3 linked regions of the Lepisosteus oculatus genome follow. The protein of the gene in region 1 interacts with the protein of each later gene in a pairwise test. Links are inferred from orthologs where the notes say so. Each region holds a gene or a part of one and is shown on either strand. Other genes may lie near its edges.

What was found.
Region 2: the proteins of mal2 (region 1) and ndrg4 interact in binary tests that used the Homo sapiens proteins (3 or more experiments, as listed by UniProt). The two-hybrid records come from large-scale screens. The link is inferred for Lepisosteus oculatus from reciprocal best matches to the Homo sapiens genes MAL2 and NDRG4.
Region 3: the proteins of mal2 (region 1) and ptpn9a interact in binary tests that used the Homo sapiens proteins (3 or more experiments, as listed by UniProt). The two-hybrid records come from large-scale screens. The link is inferred for Lepisosteus oculatus from reciprocal best matches to the Homo sapiens genes MAL2 and PTPN9.

The regions. Positions count from the first base shown.
Region 1 is NC_090705.1:11,455,279-11,459,033, forward strand, and holds the start of mal2 (protein MAL2), read right to left. Parts: upstream 2,905-3,755; 5' UTR 2,768-2,904; coding exon 2,654-2,767; intron 1,564-2,653; coding exon 1,393-1,563; intron 1-1,392. UniProt on the Homo sapiens protein: Member of the machinery of polarized transport. Required for the indirect transcytotic route at the step of the egress of the transcytosing cargo from perinuclear endosomes in order for it to travel to the apical surface via a raft-dependent pathway.
Region 2 is NC_090715.1:12,051,385-12,055,139, reverse strand, and holds the start of ndrg4 (protein NDRG4), read left to right. Parts: upstream 1-855; 5' UTR 856-1,084; intron 1,085-3,755. UniProt on the Homo sapiens protein: Contributes to the maintenance of intracerebral BDNF levels within the normal range, which is necessary for the preservation of spatial learning and the resistance to neuronal cell death caused by ischemic stress.
Region 3 is NC_090700.1:60,676,169-60,679,923, reverse strand, and holds the start of ptpn9a (tyrosine-protein phosphatase non-receptor type 9), read left to right. Parts: upstream 1-911; 5' UTR 912-1,540; coding exon 1,541-1,573; intron 1,574-3,755. UniProt on the Homo sapiens protein: Protein-tyrosine phosphatase that could participate in the transfer of hydrophobic ligands or in functions of the Golgi apparatus.

The sequences.
Region 1 (3,755 bases):
AGTAGCTCACAAAATTATAATCTATCAATGATACCTATTTTAAGCTTATTGAACACTCAGCAAATGATGCTAAAATTATAATACTGAATTAATAATCTTAAGAGTATACTAATGGCAACTAAGAAAGTTTCATTTTCTTATTTCCTTAGTGCACAACAAGCCGAATGCCACCAGGACAAAGAAGGTCTCCTTTTTCATTGGCATGTCTGGTACTATACTGTACATCACTTTGAATTCCCAAAACATTTGTAAGAAGTTTTTTTTTTCATGGGGTTTTTACATGGATAAAAAACTCATGAGTGATAAACCCATTTACATAGGATTACTGCCCAAGGAAGAGCGATGAACAGTTTATAAAACAGGTTGCCTTGGGGGAGAGGAGACTGTTATAATGACACACCCCAGCACTCAAGTGTCTTACACCTCCCTGGGCAGGTGCCCAGAGTCACAGACAGAGATTAAATTCAGTGTCCGCTACAACTTATAATTAAAACAAACGCAATAAAACTTTTGATTTTTGTCAAGGATTTTTGTCACAGTAAGGATGGGCTAAAATTCCACATCAACATGTTTAAGCGCATACTGAAGACAGCCAGTGGAAATCAAAGCATGTTTTTAGCTCCATTTTCAGCTAAGTCTCAAGTCTCAGGGGTCATAGCTGGTATACTATACCTGTATGTTTTATCTAAAGTGTTAGAAGAAGTAAATATTATTATATAAAAGTAAATGCAGTGTTCTGAAACTTCTTATAGAAAATAAGTAAAACATGGTGTTGCCTTCAAAGAGGTTCATGGTTCTTAACCTTTGGAAATGACAGAATGTTCTATAGTTCTGTGTCAACAACAGAACATACTAACAAATGGTACCTAAAAACTGAGTATGATATCATAATAACTGATAATTACCATCGCCTGATCTCATTGATCAGGGAAAAGCATTTTACTTATGGAACTGATTCATACGTATTTGCCATACTATCCCTTACATACTATCAGTAATTGCTTCTGGAAAGCCTTCTAAATCAGAACTGTACCATGAATCCTGTATACTTCACCATTGTCCTCTCTTTATATTTACCCAAGTAAACAATTTTTTAAAACCTTTTTGCTGTAATAATTGTTACATGTCAACACTAAATGGCAGCACATCATTTTAAATAAGCATAACTTAAGGAGGGGACTAAAAATGTCCAACAAAAAGTAGATACTGTCATCTGCTCTCCTAAGGGTCACTGATTACTTCCTTATTGTCACATGGGCGACAGAATCGCAAAACACTGAATATTGTTGTGCTTTTTTTTTCTTCTGCAAAGAATGCAACTGGGATTCTTTGCTGTTTGGTGCCTGCAAGCCATTTTCAGTTCACCAAAGAAATAAATGTAAAACTTCTTACCAGGAAATTCCAGTCAGTGTTGATCCTGTCAACAAAGCCCAGGAGAAAGACAAGGAGGTATGCAGTGGAGAAGGTAAACATGGTTACGGACACAAACATAACCCAGCCTTGTAACAGAGGCACAGGGACATTGGAAGAGGCCACAAGAATCCATACCAGACCTCCGAAGACCTGCATGAGAAAAGAAAACTTCTTTTAACATGTACTACTATAAATAGCTTTCTTTGTCATTAGGAAAAAAATAAAAATCATCCTTTTGGATATTTCACCAGCTGCTTTTTCACTATTTTCATTTTCAAATATTAACAGGCAAAAAAAACCAACTAGAGCTAATAGAATTTTCACTTTTAAATGTCTCTTTCAGACATTGTGCACTCATACATCACCTGTGTACAAAGAAATACATAAGATACTTTTCTCCATTTTGATCTGGAGTCCTAGACTGTAGGCTTTGTGAGTAATGTTTACAATGTGTCCAATAAGTATTAGAAGAATGTTAAGTTTAAGACCCCGGTATTTTTTATAAGGTCTTCAAGTGACTTTGTCGTTCTTACACCAAGCATTAGTAAAAAGTTCTCATTGCTTTCGTCATTATGAAGTGTGGTGGTTTTACAGTGTTACACCAACGCAAGCTTGTAATTAGGTCAGTTCTTACCGTTGAAATGTTAATTATTGTACCACGCAGAACCAGGTAAATCTTGCATTTAGTACTGCCCAGCCTATCCTGCAACAATACCTTCTTAAACAACAGCTTCAGATGAGTTGTTTAGGTATTTAATAACAAAGCTGAATAAGTTATAATACATTATGTTGTACACACTTCGGTAAATATTAAAAGTATACCATCCACCGGAAAAACACCAAATGTCACCGGAGAGGATCTTCCACAGCCGTGCACATTCAATTGTACGGCAAGTTTTCCAGACCTCCGTGTTATTTTAAATGTGGGAGTGGCAGGGCTAATCCTCTTAGCTGGGTTCTCGAAATCTTCATTTTACATGTAATGTCGGAGCGCTGTCATCACCTCATGAACTTAACAGAAAGCACCACGTTTCTTGCGAGTTCTTGCGCCGCTGCTATCAAAAGCAAAAAAGCCAAATGCCTCATCGGTACTTCCAATATTAAGAAGAAGCAGAGACGAGATCGTTTCACTCGGTGCTTCTTGTCTGGAATATGAAAACACACACTCGAATGTACTAGCGAACCACGGCGAGTGGCTAACGTTTGTAAGGAAAGGTGTTCAGAGTTTGTACACACTTACTATTTCTAAGCAGACGAGAGCCCCCGAGTACGTTCTCAGCACCTCAGGTCCCGTAGGCAAAGAAATTGTAGCGGCTGGGAAGGACGTAGCCGGCGAATTTGCGGGTACAGACATCCTTTTCTTAATTCAGAGGTTTCTGTTCAACAGGGTCAAGATCCAAATCAAATTCCTGCCGAGTCACGTGTCCTCGCAGCCCAACAGGTGCGCGGCCACGCCCATTCTGTCCGTTCGGAGCAGCGACACCGCGTCTCTTTGAAGGAGACCTGGAGTACGTGAAGAGCGGGTATAGACTGTCATAAATAATCCTGGAGTAGCCGAAGTACGTATGTTTAGCCATCAAAACCGGGGTAAACAAATGAATTACGACTTGTTGCTCACTTGTAATAGTATCAGTGACGTTTATAGAGAAGCACGCACATTTTATAGATGAGGAACAAGTAAAGATTTATTCCAAAGGAACAAGTAATAGGTTTATTCCATGCTGGGAAAAAAGAAGAAAAAACACAAAGTGTTTTCTTTCTTCTTCTTTCTCTTTTTCTTTTTTTTTCAGCATGGAATAAACCTATTACTTGTTCTTTTTCAGCCTACGCATGCTGACGCAGCTACCTACCTGAAGATTTATTCCACGCTGAAAAGATGAGAGGAAACAATGTTTTGGCTGGGGTGCCTTCTTCGAGTGTGTTTTTCTTTTGGCTTGTTGTTTCTTATTTTGCTGATAATTGGCATTGTGTTTATTGTCTTCTGTTTTCAGCATGGAACCTTTTCACCACAAACCTTTACGTGTTTCTTTGCAGACTACGCATGCTGACGCACCTACCTTCTTGAAGTATTTTATAGATATTCTTTTGAGTTAAAAAAATAATATTATGGCAAGAACACGGACGTGACTGGCTTGAAGTGTATAGAGAACCACAGTTAAGTTACAAATGAATTTTCAAGAGATATCATCCTATGGACACCAGTACATTATACTACAAATATACAAAAAATGAGAATATTGCAGTCCATTACCAAAGGAATTTAAAAAATACATATTCTTTTTAATAATGTTAATTTTTTTAAAAAAGTTTTAAAATAAAAATACAGTGTATTCTAATTTTTA
Region 2 (3,755 bases), on another chromosome or scaffold:
AAGGAGAACAAAAACAGCCCTGGGTTGAGTCTGCCTGTGCAAATACAGAAAAGCCACAGTAACTTGCAGGAGAGGCATCTTGATCAATCCCTCTGTACTGTGTGTTTTAAAAAAATGCCTCCAGAACTCCAGAGTTGTGGAATGACCAACATAGATTAATGTTTTTTTTTCAGGTACAATGAAAAGTCACAAAAATGCTGACTTCATGTAGACTTCATTATTATGATTATAAGTGTCTTATTTCTCAAGCAAAAAAAAAATTGCTGTAAATATTTTAGGTGTTCAGGTTCCTTGTTGTTTAAAACTTGGTAGCAGTGTGTCATAGACGGAGATATATCAACATAAAGATGCTGCTGCAAGATTAGCATGCCCCAGAAGGGCCTGAGGCCTAACAAGTCTCAATTCTAGTTTCAAATGCATGTTACATAACATGCAACAATACCAATAGGAGTTTAAAAGCAAGGAGACTATCGCCAGCACGAAACTGCTGTTTCACAATTAACAATCTAGTGAGATATACAGCACGAGGGCAGAAAAATGAGCTTTTAGTAGAAATCACAGAGAAACATGATCTCAGATGGAGAACTCGAGGGGAGAATGAGGTACAGTATTGTAGCAGCAAATGTGAAAGACAGGCTAATTTATAATTAACTCTGGGGGGGGGTGTTAGACATGCACAAAAATTTTCACCTAAACCATTTTATAATGAAAACACTCCTAAGTGCCTGTGTGGGTGTTATTTTTTTTTGCTCTGCTTTCATCTCCCTGATTCGTTTGAGACTGGTGCCAGAGAGCTGCCTGTCGCAGTCTAGGTCTCTTCGTGGAAGTAGCCACCTCTCTCTCTCTCCCCTCCCTCCCTCTCTCTCCCTCTCATCTCCAGCCTCACAGAGCAGGGGGAGTCTGCACACTCGTCAGTTCCCCTGCCGCATCACCACAGACGCACGTGCTTTCTGTTTATTGCCTCTCAGAACAAGCCACCCAGGCGCGTTCTCCCAGGGTAGGCTGTTCCTCGCACACAGAGGCCGAGGACGAGAGAACAGGAGACACGAGCACAAAGAAACCAGCCTAAACCACATCACAACAGGTAGGAGACTTTATTTATCATCTGCATGGCGATCAGCTGTGGGCTTTAAACTGCACATTCTGTTCAGCACCGTGGAGTTATTTTTAATTTGAATTCTTTAATCTGGATGTGCTGCCGGTATGATCAGGGGAGCTGTATTGCAGTCTTACACCCAGATTTCTGAGCTCATGTGTTACATACTAGTCCATAATGGGCAAGACTGGCATGGCGTCAGTGTTCCACGATCTGCGATGGCATCAGGACACCATCAGGTGAATTAATTAACCCCTGAAGTTCTGCTTTAAATGGGAAATCTAAACACTGGATATGTATCAAAGTAAAGACCTTATCAGAATACCCTCTGTAATGCCATGCTTCTCCTCTGGCTAAACAGGAGATTCTGAAATTCAACAATACAAATTTTAGTTTTGAATCCAGTGTCTCTTATTTTTACTGGTTTTATAAATATTGAAGTGACGGGCAACTTTGTCAAAATGTTCGTAAAGCACAGCTCAGTTTATCAAGTGGAATACAGGATATACACAATTCCTCGTTAAGTGGTTTCTTTTTATAAGCAAAGAGCTAAACACTTCTAAATTGTTAGGAGGCATTTAGGTTAAAGCTGTTGTTCTGGGGATATAAGTTTGGCAGGAGGAGATTGCTATGTACAGCACTGAAATAAAAAAAATATTGCACAATAAATTGCTTGAGAGATGTGACATTTCTGGATTATTGAAAAAAAACAATTTAAAAACCTTCACAGGCCCTGTTTTTCATCTGCCTTAATTCACAAGCAACGTTTTTTATTTGCTAGTATCAGATTATCTGGAGCCCCACATGGGGCTGTGATGGTGTAAGGGAATCTTCAATGAAAACCTTTATTAAAAAAACATTATACAAAGGAAAGATCTGGATGAACATAAAGATATTTAACTCTTTCTCCATTTCAAGAATCCAATATTGTTTGGAAAACATGAAAGAAAATGATCGTGAAGCTGTCCGATTTAAAATTTCTTAATTAGTATTTACATGCAAACTATGTGATATTTGTAAAGATATCTGAAATAATTTGTATGAAGCTGCTTTTAATCCATCTAACATAATACAGGCTGGATATGTGATGCAAGAGTGACATGCTTGATTAAAAAAGATCAAACCAAAGTCATTTACATAGCAAATGTTGGAAGGGGTTTGTTTTTAACAGACTAGTCTTTGTGAAATCTACTGGGAAATCAGGAATACATCTAAGGAGAAATAGTTGAATATTTTCCAGATTCTGTTGCATGAAAAGTATAAAAACCCTTTATCTATACAACTCGCTAAACACAACAATCGTGTTAATTAGAAGTAGTATGTCTCAAATAATTACATTTTTTTAATTTAATTTTTATAGAATGCTCAACTACCCCTTCTGTTTCTTTATTCTCTTATTCTTCACTATCCCCAAGTCCTCATGCTCCCAAACGTGTACTGTAAGTAGTAGAGTAATTCCTTGAATATGACGGATATTAACCGTCAATCAGATAACTGAAAGTAGCAGTGCTGCATTGCCCACAGGAAGGTAGCCCTGATATTAACCAAGCATATACTGTAGGTGCGCAGTCAATCACAGAAATGCCTTCTGAGTTTTATTGTTAGAGGTGCCCCCTGCTGGGCCAACCTGCTCCTGCAGTGCCGGCGTCCTCAGCTAGGTTGGTGGTATAGTATGACCGGACACTGCCGGACAAAGTCAGCACCACCACACAACACCACCCGGGATTTCTGGGACCCGTCAACACTCTGGAATGAGAGACCAATATCAGGGGATGAGCCGCTTGTGGGTTCAGAAGAGTTTGATATGGAAAACTCTGGCGATGAAATCCCTCTTGCTTCTGTTCCTGGGCAATCACAGCTCTGCAGGCTTTCAGATAATCAGATGGGACATCAAAGCTTTAAATCAAGCTGTCATTTTGATCAATAAGGCAGAGCGAATCCCCATGTCACCCTGTACCTGGAGACCCAGGAGTGAGTATTTCTACTCTTATTTGATTTTCATGCCGCTAGGAAGACATGCAACCCGACAGCATAGATGCCTAGTCAATCCCACCTTTTGAGGCTTTTGAGCTTCAGGCTGTGATGCCCAGGATGTTTCAATTGATTTTCTTTTCTTGACTTCGTTTTTTTGTCATCCCACTCTCTCACTGTGACACGTCCAGGCAGATTTAATATCTCTTAAGAAGACGACCATCCAATTACGTCTATGTTGCACAATCTGAAGAAGAAAGCATATGCAATTGAGTTCTTTAACAGAATTCTGAATGTTATATTTTTAATACAGTTGTAAATTATTTAGTGATCTCTCTATAAAAGGTGACTTGGATAACATTGTATTTATAATCTTTTGTGTATATACAGTAGCACCTTTCATGACATCATGACATGATCTGCAGCACATTAAGCAAAAGCATTAGAAACCTATTGGATTAATACCCATTTTAATACAATTAATAGATTTAAAAGCTAGAGAATATTTTTAAATTTAAATGATATAGGTGTAGGCGGAGTTAACTGTACAATGATATATTCAAGGTGTCCTGTAGCATTTTTAATTTTCTTCTGAAATCCACAATCAGAGCAATTGCTGTGCTGTTAATATAAACTACACAATGGCTGTGTAAAGTGACATCATATCATATATAATGTATGTAAATTA
Region 3 (3,755 bases), on another chromosome or scaffold:
AATCATAGAATCCCAGAACAGGATATTTTCTGAAACGAAATTAACATGTGAATTGAGCGCTAACACTGTACGAATAAAGACGTAAATTGTGAGCTAAATCCTTATTAAATTATTGTTGTTGCCAATTACCGCTGGGTTGTGACAAAATAAACCTTCTTTTTTTAAAAAAACGTAATTTTTATTTTCCACTTTACTTGTTAATAATTGTCTCTCAAAAGCTGCACCTAGTATTAATAGTAGTTTATCTGTAATTTGCACTCCATGCACACCAATCAAAGATCAGCTGTGTTCATCTGTAACGGGACAACGCCTTTACTTAATCAGCAGGCTGTCAAACTAGGACAATAGAAATAGAAAATTGAGATTTTAAATACGATAACGAGATTTAACCTGGAATGAAAACATATACATTCATAATCTGGGTTTCTTTAAAATGCTCCTTTTGTCTTACATTGTCTGGCAATGATGATTTCAGGTAGCTTTACATTTGACGTTTAGCATTTGCGGTTGAAAATTACATAATCGAATAAAACCGAGATTTTGAACCACATCTACAATAAGAGTCTTGTTATAAATTATTAATGTAAAGACGAATTTCCATATTGAAATGTCCACGTGGGTTGTATCTCTAAGTACAAAATGGTGCGGACGCACACTTAGAAATCCATTTTTCATTTAGTCTGGCCTTGTGCGACTAGGGGGAACAGTACATAAAGGATAATGGTATTTGTACCAAAAGTCGTTTAGGTGTTGTGGTTCATCTGGGAGAAATCCAGTTCTGTATGTGTACACGGTTATCAGTACAAACATAATGTATGTTTCTTATTAAACACGTTTGCCTTTTCTGGCCAATGAGGGAATATCAAGGGGAGTTGCAATTAACTGCGAAGTAGGTTTGAGCTACCGGCGTTGGATAACAGGGATATCGCCTGCGCGATGGGCCCAAGCATTTTTATGAATGAAGGAGAGAGCGCTTGGCAGTCGAGTTTTATAGCTCGAAAGTTGTTGTGTTTAGTGTAACCAGTAGGGGAGTCGGAGTTCTGTGACTGAGGTCTTCCCTTCTGAAGAAATAAACTGCCGATGGATTCAAGCTTGCAAGGCAGCAAACTCAGGAATGCTTCAAAATAATCGCAGAGTGATGAAGGTTAACGGGGAAATGTGGACTTTTATTTTATTTGCGATACGCCATCGAGAAGCAGCATGAATTCGTAGGCTTCTAGTTTTCTACGGAGTGGAGTATTTTTTCGGAGGACCAAACTGAGCTCGTTTTTAAATATATATAAAAACACTTTTTATTTGCAGGAACTATTTAAACGTCTGTTGCCTTTTATTTACGCTCTGGAGGAAATAAGCTTAACATCTACACCCTATTTTTGTAGCGATGCGTAATATGTTGATATACATTGTTGTTTCGGGTTAAAGTAGCGAGTTATTTTCTTTTCCGACAAAGAGTGGGACGACTGTTGATTAACCCAATTCAAAGAACCTGTAGTCGTATACAAAAACAAGGAAGAGTTTCGAAATTGCATCAACGAAAGGAATGGCAGCTCATTTAACAGCAGAAGAGGAGCAGGTAATGTTCGCGTTTTTAACGAAAGTCTTGAAATACATATTTAAAATAACATCGGAACTTCTAAGCTTTACAGGAAGCTCTTTAGTTTTATTGAGTATTGAAACTTAATGTGCATTTTAAATGTATTTCTTTTCACGTGTATTTGTACACATACGCGGGTACTATGTACATGAGGCTTTAAAAGTTTTAATAAGATGTTAGATGCTGCAACACTGTTTTCACAGCGCCATGTCTCTTTATGACTGGCCTGTTAATGGACGTTTCCGCTTTCTTTATTAAAACGCATTGCGTATTTTACATTTTACTCATTTGATGGGAAGTGCTAATGATCAATTTTGCGAATATGAGTCGTAAAAAGTTGTTTTGGTTCTGACGCACTGTTCTCCGGCCTACAGACCACGAAAACACGAGGCAAGACATTTTGTGATCCCGTTTCATTTTGTATCTGAGACATTGTTGTGTATTGTTCAGGGGAGAAGGGAGCTAAAATGTATCTTCCTTGGTTGAATCAGGGGCTTGCAACTAGGTGTAGATCGTTTGAATTAAACAAAAAACACATATTTTTGGTTTCCTTTTATTTTGTCGCTGCGGGGGTTGGTAGACTTTAGTTTAACTGCTTCGGTGCCAGTCTCCATCTCGTCGGAGAAGCAGTTTTGGGCTGAGGTGGACTAAGGACCACAGCCGGGGATGTGCCTGTTATGTTCAGTGTCATTTCTATGGCTGTGAAACATTAGAAATTACATTACTGGAACCTTAAACAAAGTAGGAATTTACAAACGTGTTCGTTTTTACCTACAAAACCGTGATTTACGTATTAAGATCTACTATTCTTGATTCATTTAAAGACTCAGTTTCAGTCCTGTTTAGTCTAAAACTTTATTTTTACCGCATACGGATCACGATATATGACTGTAGACCCTTGGCTGTTTCCACTAGAAGGAAATTGAGCTAATTTTATTTCTTCTTCCTCTGCTAAAAAATGAATGTAAGCTTAAAGGATTTTTTGTTTAATGGGAAATCGCATTTTCCTGTTTTTATGTATCGATTAAACTAGTGATTTCATTCCATTGACATACTTTTTCACATACGCTTTCAAATAGTAAAAGAGTAAAACAAACAAAATGCTGCACCTGACTAGCTATCCTGCTCTTGAATCATTTATTGCACATGATGCCTTCACGCAGCAAACGAATACCTATTCGTTGTGGTGTGTTTTCAGTATGGTTTTCATCCAAAAGCCATCTAAAAAAAGGATTTCTCATACGACAGTTTTCACTGCATTTTTTTCACGTTATAAACTCTTATTTTGACGATCTTGTATGTGTTCTGTTAGATTGAAGTAAGACAGTGGGGTAGCAAAGCTAATGGTAGGATACTGTAACTCTTTTCTTGCTTTGCTTTTACCTCTCAGCCCTTTGAGAATTTGACCCTTTGAAAGTGTCGTTTTGTTTTTGTGGCCTGCAGTTTTGTTTTCCGGACGATCAGCCTGATGGCACTCTGCATTGTTTGAAGGCACTGCATCCAAACCTTTTCAATAAACATTTTTAAATGTTAATATTGTATTCTGCTTTGCTGCAGGAATGCCAGGCACGTTACTAAAACACTTGGCTTTCATTCAGACAGTCCGTTTCCGAGCTTGCAGCTGTAATCGGCTAACAGCTGGCAGGTTTTTGTCCGTGATACCATTTCGTCCAGCTCCTTAATGTCATTCTTTTCGCCGTTGGGGCTCTAATCCACTTTTCCCATCCCATCGCCTCATCTGGCAAGCAGCTTTATGTGGGTACTTCATTTCCGAGAGTCTGTCTGCAGTGGAAGTGTGTCCGCTGGAAATTCGATCCCAGATTCCCTGTGTCCGGACATCAGGGCCCCTTGGGAACTTCGTCAACACGGGGAACTGCGCACTCAAGCAGCTGTTAAAAGCGTTAAAATGAGCTGTGTGTGTTTGGAGGGGATACAGCCAGCTCCCAGGAAGCAGAGGGTGAATGACGCATTTAACCTTTTATCCAAGCATATTATTGACTTGTGCCAACATTGCAGACAGTGTCCGGAATTTAGCCCAGTCATTCACAAGTTTCCACTCTGAGCTGCTAATGTTTATGTGGTGGAGCCTGGAAAGACAACGAGGCAACAAACTTCCAGATAATAATAGGTTTCTGCAGCCACTCGTTGTTTTAGTAGATGG